2 linked regions of the Drosophila melanogaster genome follow. The protein of the gene in region 2 purifies or fractionates together with the protein of the main gene of each other region. This does not show direct contact. Each region holds a gene or a part of one and is shown on either strand. Other genes may lie near its edges. The genes, in order: bigmax and Mondo.

The links.
Region 1: the proteins of Mondo (region 2) and bigmax purify together in Drosophila melanogaster (affinity purification with western blotting, with the first as the bait; one study listed by BioGRID). This does not show direct contact.

The regions. Positions count from the first base shown.
Region 1 is NT_033777.3:27,286,752-27,290,448, reverse strand, and holds bigmax (bigmax), read left to right. Parts: upstream 1-1,922; 5' UTR 1,923-1,979; coding exon 1,980-2,121; intron 2,122-2,263; coding exon 2,264-2,664; intron 2,665-2,729; coding exon 2,730-2,951; 3' UTR 2,952-3,083; downstream 3,084-3,697. Other genes in the region: Hmu (hemomucin), read right to left, coding at 1-432, 769-1,069, 1,129-1,334, 1,404-1,519; CG3368 (uncharacterized protein), read right to left, coding at 3,134-3,697.
Region 2 is NT_033779.5:21,306,867-21,311,959, reverse strand, and holds the start of Mondo (mondo), read left to right. Parts: upstream 1-1,909; 5' UTR 1,910-2,021; exon of another isoform or gene 2,022-3,021; 5' UTR 3,022-3,172; coding exon 3,173-3,672; intron 3,673-5,093. Other genes in the region: crc (cryptocephal), read right to left, coding at 1-85.

The sequences.
Region 1 (3,697 bases), on a different chromosome or scaffold from region 2:
ACAGTGATGCTCTCCATGTGTCCCACGAAGTGAACGAATCGCTGCGAGAACTTGTTCGGATATACGCTGTTCAAGTAGCGGAAGGGCAGCTCGAACAAAGCCAGCATGCGGGCCAGGAACAGGCGCACGCTGGGGAAGCGAGTGAACAGGGTGAAGCCGTTGGGATGCTCGCTATCCGCGCTCTGGACCAATGGCACCCAGATGCCCTCGGCGTCGGGTGTCAGGTTATCGGGCAAACCGGGCAGTCCGTCGACGAACACCTCGCTCTGACCGGCCTTCGCTCCCTTCAGGTGATACTTTGTCAGACGCATCGCTCCGGTTTCGGCTACCACGATGAAGTCCTCGTTGGGACTGAGGGCCAATCCATTGGCGAAAGCCAGTTCGTCCAGCAGCACCTCGCTAACATTCTTCGAGCGATTGTATTTGAAGAGACTGGAACGTAGAAGAAAGCAAAGGCCGTTAGAGTAACCATAAGACCAGATCGAGAAACCGGTTTGCGTTCGTCTTACAGTCATACTTCTGTAACTTGTCCCTTAATTATAAGAATTAAGCTAACTTCAGTAAGCGTGGACTCTTAATTGAGATTAATTAAGTGACTCCCTCGATTCCTCCGCTACAAACATTTGAAATAATCTTAAATGGGTCACAAAACACGTTTTATAAAGAAATACATTGTAATGGGGTCCCACTGTAGCCCTATTCCGAATAGCTATCACTTTGAATTCTAGCAATATTAGACAGTGTCGCTATAATTTGCGATGAACTCACCGGCCGGAGGGGTTAGCAAAGCTGGCAAAGACGAGGTCTTCGATGGTGAAGTCCGACGAGGAGTCCGTCCAGTAGACGTCGCCCTCTTTGCTCACGGTCACGCCGTTGAAAATCTTGGCAGGGCGGTTGATGGACTTGCCGGCAAGCTCCTGGGCGGGCGAGACCAGCAGAGTCTTCTTATTGGTGCCCAGGTCCACCTGCCACAGGCCGTAGTAGGCGTCGGCGATGATGAGGTTGTTGCCCTGCGTATCAAAGGCCAGTCCCAGCGGACGGCCGCACCGGGACTCCTCGTAGATGTCCTCTGCAAGGGGATTACTATTATAAAATGAAATTCCCTTTATAGGACTCGAAAATACGCACCGCAGGGCTGGCCGATCTTGGTGACATGCGTGACATGGTTGGACGTTAGCTTGATGACCTCACCGCCGTGGATGCCGGTGTAGATCTCGTTGTTGCGGGCTATCAGGCACTCCGGGCCGTAGACCCGCCCCTCCAGCAGTCGCTCCGCTCCCTCCAGGTGAAAGTTCGATTCCAGCGCACCCTTCAGGTCTTTGGGCGGGGTCACACTGTACGAAGTGGCGATTTCTCCAAGGATTAACACGGGAATTACGTCAATTGAAACGGGCGGCACTTACATATAGTCCTTGAAGGGGAAGGTGGTGCGCGGCGGCAGACCGGGCATTAGGATGATGAGGAGGAAGAAAATCATGAAGTTCATGATCCTCACGCGCAGCGCATATAGCAGGCCCATGATTGATTCCTTGTGCGTCCGCCGATCACAAATTACAGCCCAAAAACCCGCTAAATTTAAGCAATAACCCCGAAGAAAGCGACACGACGGCAAAGTTCAACAAGAAAAAAACGTAAAAGTCATCATCCGGACCGGTAGAGGTGGCCGAAATATCGATATGACTATCATTCGTTGATTGAACGTACCACATCTTACACTCTGCTACAAAAATTAATTGTATGCAGTTTCTAAAAACTATGTTATTAGGGATGCAAATTATAACAAGCATAGTTGGTTGAATAACATCATAATTAAAGTACCTGTTAGCCTGGTACCTGATAACTGTTTTAAAAATTCCTTAAAACTATCGCACAATGTTGAATGTGACCATCAGATACCGAAGGCTTTTCGCGCTACCTTGCGACAGTCACACCGCTGCTAGTGTTTTTGTTTTGGGAATTCCAAAACGTCGCAGTTGACGATGAGCGATAATAACAACGCGTTGGCCACCAAGGAAGACGTTTTCGGCATGGAGCACGACCAGGACCACACCAGCAAGCACTACTCGCGGTGCAGCAGTGCGGGCAGCACGCACACTCCGAACTCCTCGGCGCACAATTCAGGTGGGCGAACGCTGGTCAAGATCGGTCACGCTGATCGGTCAAGAGTGCGGGGCGGGGGCAGCTGATAAAGCAGTGGCATTGAATTACTCGCTATCAGCAGCATTTTATTACATTGTACTCATGTTTCGGTTCTGTATCGCAGACGACGACGACGATAGCGGCGATGCGCGCCATTCCGCGGCCGCCAATTCCACGCTGAGTTACAAGGAGCGGAGAAGGGAGGCGCACACCCAGGCGGAGCAGAAGCGGCGCGATGCCATTAAGAAGGGCTACGACAGTCTGCAGGAGCTGGTGCCGCGCTGCCAGCCCAACGACTCCTCCGGCTACAAGCTCAGCAAGGCTCTGATCCTGCAGAAGTCCATCGAATACATTGGCTACCTTAACCAGCAGAAACTCAAGCAGGAGGACGAGGGATCGGCGCTACAAAAGGAGGTAACAGCGTTACGGATCATTAAGAACGGCTATGAGAACATGCTACAGCATCAGCAGGCGAATCCAGGGCCGGAGGAGGCACGACTCACCGATGAGGCCAAGTTTCAAGTGGTAAGTATGGAGCGCTTACCTCTATTATAACCTCTAGAATCGCCACCCACCACCCTCCTCCGTAGTTCCAGGCCATTATGGAGGAAATGTTCGAGACATTTCAACACATACCCATGGAGAACTTTAAGCAGCTGACCACCGGCATTATCCCCTGGCTGGAGGAGCACTGCAAGCCGCACATCCTGCGCAACATACTCAGTCGTACCTTGCAGCAAATGGCGCAGGAGGCTATGGAAAAACAGGAACTTCAGGCCATGGAGCAGGAGTCGAGCGAGGGTTTCAGCTGATCGCGCGGTTAGTTCATATTCTCATTGGTTATTTTAGAAATCCCTGTTTGGTAGATACTTTCGTTACGTTTACTGCGTACAAACATTAAATGCGTCATTTGAATAGTTGTAAAAGCGTTGACAAGGAAAGATAACTTTTTGGCTTAATGATTAAAGATTAGATAAAACTAGATTTGCTAATGCTAGCCGAGAGACTCGACGAGAGCCGCTTTATCCGCACTACCCAGCTGGCCTAGCAGTTCCAGCAGCACATTCCGTGTGTACGGCTTGAAGCGACGAACTCGCTCAGTGACATCCAGCGCGGTGAGCAGCGCTTCAAGGAATCCCTCCAGACGTCCCGCGCTCCACACATGACGTGCTTCGTGCTTTAGTTTCAGCACGCCCGATGTCAGCGTGTAAATCAGTCCCTCGTAGAAGTTCTCCTCCTCCAGATTCGCGGCCAACTTGGCGCTGGCCAGCAGCGCCGCCGGCAGATCGCAGCGGAATTCGTGCGACCGCACAAAGCAGGTGGCCGCCAGTTGGCGGACCTGATCACATTTGTGCCGCAACAAATGCCAACTGAGTCGGCGGAAGCGAATGAGCAGGGGATTTGGCTCTTTCCCGCCCGACGTACGCAAGTGCTCGACCTTGGACAAGAAGGCCAGAAAGAGTATGATGGATGACGTGACCTCCTGGCGATCACAGCACCTCAGCATGTGCTCGCAAGCCTTGGGCAGCAAGCAGCCCAATTCGTCGTAGTCCAGCTC
Region 2 (5,093 bases):
GGGATTGTGGCTCCATCTTGAGGTCCCAGTACAGCTCCTTGGGCAACTGCAAGCTCTCCATGGTTTGGTGAAATGTCGCGTCCATATCCAGAGTTCAAATCAGGGGTCAAAGATATGTTTTGTTTTGAGAGTATGAAATCCGGTCCGAAGAATGAGAATGGTTGTTTTCGCGGTGTGTTTTGTTGTTGTGAAAATGCCATGATGGCGCTGAGAATTAAAGAAACGAATTAATTATGATTAATTGGTTCGCTGTTCAGCCCACAGCTGTTTAATGACTTATCACGAGTCATAGTGATAATGAATAGTCGCTACCCTTTTAAAAACACTTTTAATCATTTTACTGTACCTCTTATATTCAAATTAATCTAAGGGTAGACTACATTCATTGAAAACTATGAAAGATAAATGTATTTTTAACATTTTATTACCAAGAGTCAATATTGCCGTGTCCACCACCAAAAAAGTTGAGATTAAGCACGCAAATTTTGATTTTAATTTTCTTTTTGAAAACTTCTTTCTCCCCTCTAGCTTAGTAATATAGTAATTATGTTTTAACATTTTAGGTAAATATAGAATGCAAGGGTAGAGCTGCAATCGCGCAGCCGGTTTAAACAGCTCTGTCCTGGGCTGTGTCCGCTTGGGGTAGTCCTTACTGTGGTGAGTCATCTCATTTTCGCACGTGCAGGCGACTTGCAACGCACATTACTCAACTCCAGTCGGCGATTGCGTCAGCCAATTTCTTTACCTTTACCAGGTGGCATGCCCCACTGAGTTTTGATTTGCCACGTTCGCCCGGTCAATTGAAAATCCATACAAGGCAATGCCACCAACACACGTGCAGCAACAATGAATGAGTAGAACGCCAAGTGCGGCAGTGTGCGTGATAAATTGCGAAATTAGCGAGAATTTAGCTTGGTGTATACTCACTTTTGATTTTTATACGTTTCCATTTTGTTGTGTTTGGGCACCTAGGTGCTGCTTGTTTTTGCTTGCGCGCAAACTATAGAGCCATCTTTAGGTTAATATAAATGCCGAAATCGTGAGAGAAAATAACAATTGAACCTTTTTGCGTTTCATTTGGAACGGTAATGAGTGTTGGAATCAGTGTTACCAGATCGGGAAATGCCTTGCTACTTTCTACTAAATAATCCCACCCCTTTTTCTCACAAATCTAAAGCGCACAAAATCATTCGTAAAGTATTATTAAATGACTATATAAAAATTTTGAACTGAACAGCAATTTCATTAAGAACCTTCTAACAGTACAAATGAAAAAATTCTCTGAAAGTATAATGTCTAATATAAGCCCGAGAAAGGTATTTAAGCAAAAGAACATGGGAGTGCGAAATCCTCTAGTCTGCTGATAAAGAATTAGGCAGTTACACTACTTTGTAACAAGGTGTGCAGTTTGAATACTTATTATTAAATTTTAACCGGAACTAATTCAATGTTTATCGATAGTTTTTTGATGTGTGATCACTAATTTTATTCTGGGTATTCTATTCTCTAACTTAAACAATATAGTGAACATAAAGGGAAAATATCCATTTTACATAATTTTTCCTAATTACTTAAGCACAACAATGTTTAAAAAACACATTACATTTGAGTATAATATATGTATATATTCTAGTTTTTCCTATTAGTCTCAACGCATTAACTTTTTATTGATGCGGTTTCAAGGTGCTGTCGGAAAAAGATATAATAGCAATTCCATAAAACTGGAAACTAATTACGGGAAATAGCCGTCCTAAATTCATTGTATTGCAATTTCGGAGCAGGAAACATATGACCTCGTATGCTGCCCTTCCCAATCTTTACGTTTGGGGTGATTATGCTCATTCTTGCGTTTTTCGGCTCGCAGCTTTCAGCCATTTTTAGGAAGAGGGTGCTGTTTATCAGAGCCACCAAATGCTTGACAACCCTGATGGGATGGTGAGGGCTCGCTACCCGCAATAGGTTAATGTGTGCTATATTGTGATTAAACTACGTAGAAGCTTTGTGTTGCGCGTGTGTGCGTGGTATTGGTAGTCCGTCGTGCCTGCTAACTGCCCGTGTTTCTGCTATAGGGGGCAGTTGCAGTTGTACCGAAATTGTGGTGCGCGTGCATGCGCGTGTATATGAGTGGGAACGGAAAAAGGCAAAATGCAAAGGCAGCGCTGAGCCAGAGGTCAAAAGTGCAAACACAGAACTGCTTGTGGAGTGCATACTCTGGATGGCAAGGCCGAATGCCAGGAGTCAAATCGACTGAGCTCCATATAGTAATAGTGGAGAGGGGGACAACATTGCTGCCTGACATCTGCGCATATAGAAGAACACGTACATACATACATATACATATGTATGTACGTTTTCCTAGCTGATAAGCAACGCTAGCGAGGTAGGGAGAGAGAGAGATTTCGCGTCAGCTGTTCATTGTTGTGTTGTGTGCGGCGCACAGGTTATGTGCGTTTCGCAGCTTCGTTCTCCGATCAGTTCTGTTTGTGGAATGAAACCGATCGTTCTGCGCTGGTTCTGCCCGCCTTGTTGGCCTTCCATCAGATCCGCGTGTGTTTACGAGTAGTTGGGGCTTCACTATCTGTTCAAGGAGCTACAAGCGGCCACTGACGTCTCGTTCTGACGTCCGTATCCCCAGCCAACCCCGCCGCGATTGTGTGTGTGTGTGTGTGTGCGAAAATTGTTGTTATTGTGCTGTGTGACGCATATAACGGCAAAAGCGGGGCGTGTTTGCCATTAGAGAAGCTTCGCTCCGGAAAAAGCAACAATTGGACAGGTGTCGATGACGAAAAGCTGAAGGTGTCGGGCATTGTAAACAAATCAAAATCTTAAAACCGTGCTATGTCTCTATCAAATAATCGCTTATTTTAGTAATTTAGTTAATAGAATGACAAGGACAAACACTAGATGAGAGAATTAATAAATGTGTTAACCACGAGGCAAGACAAAACATATTTTTTTTTATAGTCTGCGAACGTTTACATATTTTGAAATGATGGAAAAACCCCATCCAAATTAAAAAAGGGTCAGCACCAGCTTTTAAAAGCCTTTACTACGCGAGAGACATTAAAAAACCATTAAATGTGCCCTCGCCATATCGACATAATCTGCAACCGCCAAAATTTTGGCTCAACAGTAAACTATTTGCATAGGCATCCCCTGGCACCTGTTGAAAATGATGCTGAATAAACACGAGGGATACCAACGCACAAGCCAAATGTTTCCCCACCAGCAGCACCAGCTGCCTCAGCTGCACCAGCAGCCTTATCTGCAACAGTCTCTGTGCCAAAACTTCCAGCAATTGCAGTACGAAACGGGAGTAGGTGCTTCGGCGTCAGGGTCCGCCGAGGCTACGGCAGACCTGCTCAAGGCGGAGCGGGAGTCTATCCACTCCGGCCAGTTTATGGTCTCGCACTTCGAGGCAGAGGAGGCGCAGGACGACCTAGAGGATGACGGCGAGGTGAAGATGCTAGACCCTGAGGACCCCGGTCTGGGCAAGCCGGGCGAGCCAACCAACACATGTCGTGACGTGCAGCTTTACGTACCCCAAACAGTGGCCCACTTCAGCGCCATGGACCAGGAGGGCGACGAGAGCAGCATGAGCATGGTGACCTCCCACCTGGAGATAGAGACCTCGCTCACCAAACTCTTCAAGTGCATGAATCTGGCCTACAGGTGAGTTGAAGACTCGTACTCGAGACCACAACCGAACACCGGGGCCCTGAAGATTTATGAAATGTTGTTTCCCGCTTGTTCACGCGTTTCGAGCGTGATAACGCTCAACTGGCCAACGAAAATCCAGCAAACGAAAAAGCTTGGACCGCTTCGGTCCCATAATCGCGGCACATGTTGAGACGTGACGTCGCTGCTCAGGTTACTTTGGCCCCACATTGCCTCAATCGCTCCTCTGCCACCCTTTATACCCCTCTTTCTGTTACTTCTCCCATTTCTGCAAACGACAGCGCAATCATAGAGAAAATATTAAAGTATTGCCAAAGCAATATCAGAATGAATTAATTTTGCAAAATGAAATGCAATTTGCTTACAACATATTATTATCTGAGACCTTATCAACTAAAAATCTGAATTGTGAAGCTATTGTTTTTTGTTTTTTTTTAAAGAACGAAAAGGATTTGTTTAAAAAAAGTGTTATACAGTTTTAAATTTTAAATTTGTTTGTTATAATGATGGTTTTTAGTCACTATAAAACAGCTACGGTAGTTGTTTGTATGATCCATATATATACGCGTATTGTTAATAACTACGAATTCGGATTTCCTTACATTTTTCACGACCATGTGATTTCATTGTTGTTTTTCACTAAGTGACTAAGTGCTCTAGGAGAGTGTGCGTTCTCCTGGATGCGCTTTAGCGACTACAATATACACGAGGAAAAATATAAATTTAAATTTATAACATGCTTCATTTTGCACGCCCGCCGGTTGTTTTGATGGTGTTAAGTTTCGATGGAAAGACATTTCCAAACGCTTTTTTTGTCTAAATAACATATTAAAAGAGAGAACAACGTAATTGTTATACGCTTCTACTCTACGATTCTAGATACTAGATTAGTTGAAAAGTATGCAACGGGCGTTTCCGACTTGATCAGGATCTATAGCTGGGTCAATCTAGCCATGTCCGCCTGAACGTCGAGATCTCAGGAACCCTATAAAATCTAGAAGTTTAGCCAAGTTAAAACCGCAACTTTGTTTAGCCATGTTGCCACGCCCACTCTAACACTAGCTGAAAACTGTCACGCCCACACTTTTGAAAAACGTGATCATATTTTTTCACATTTTTATTAGTCTTGTAAATTTCTAACGATTTGGAAAAAAATTGTTTTCCACGCCCACTCTAACGCCCTAAACCGCCCAAAACTGCCACGCCCACATTTTTGAATAATTTTTTCATTTTTTAATTAGTCTTGTACATTTCTATCCATTTACAACAAAACTTTTTACCACGCCTATTCTAACGCCCTAAAACCGCACAAAACTGGCACGCACACATTTTTGAAAAATTGTTGGATATTATTTCATAATTTTAAATTTCTATCGATTTTCCAAAAAAACTTTTTGCCACCACCACTCAACGCC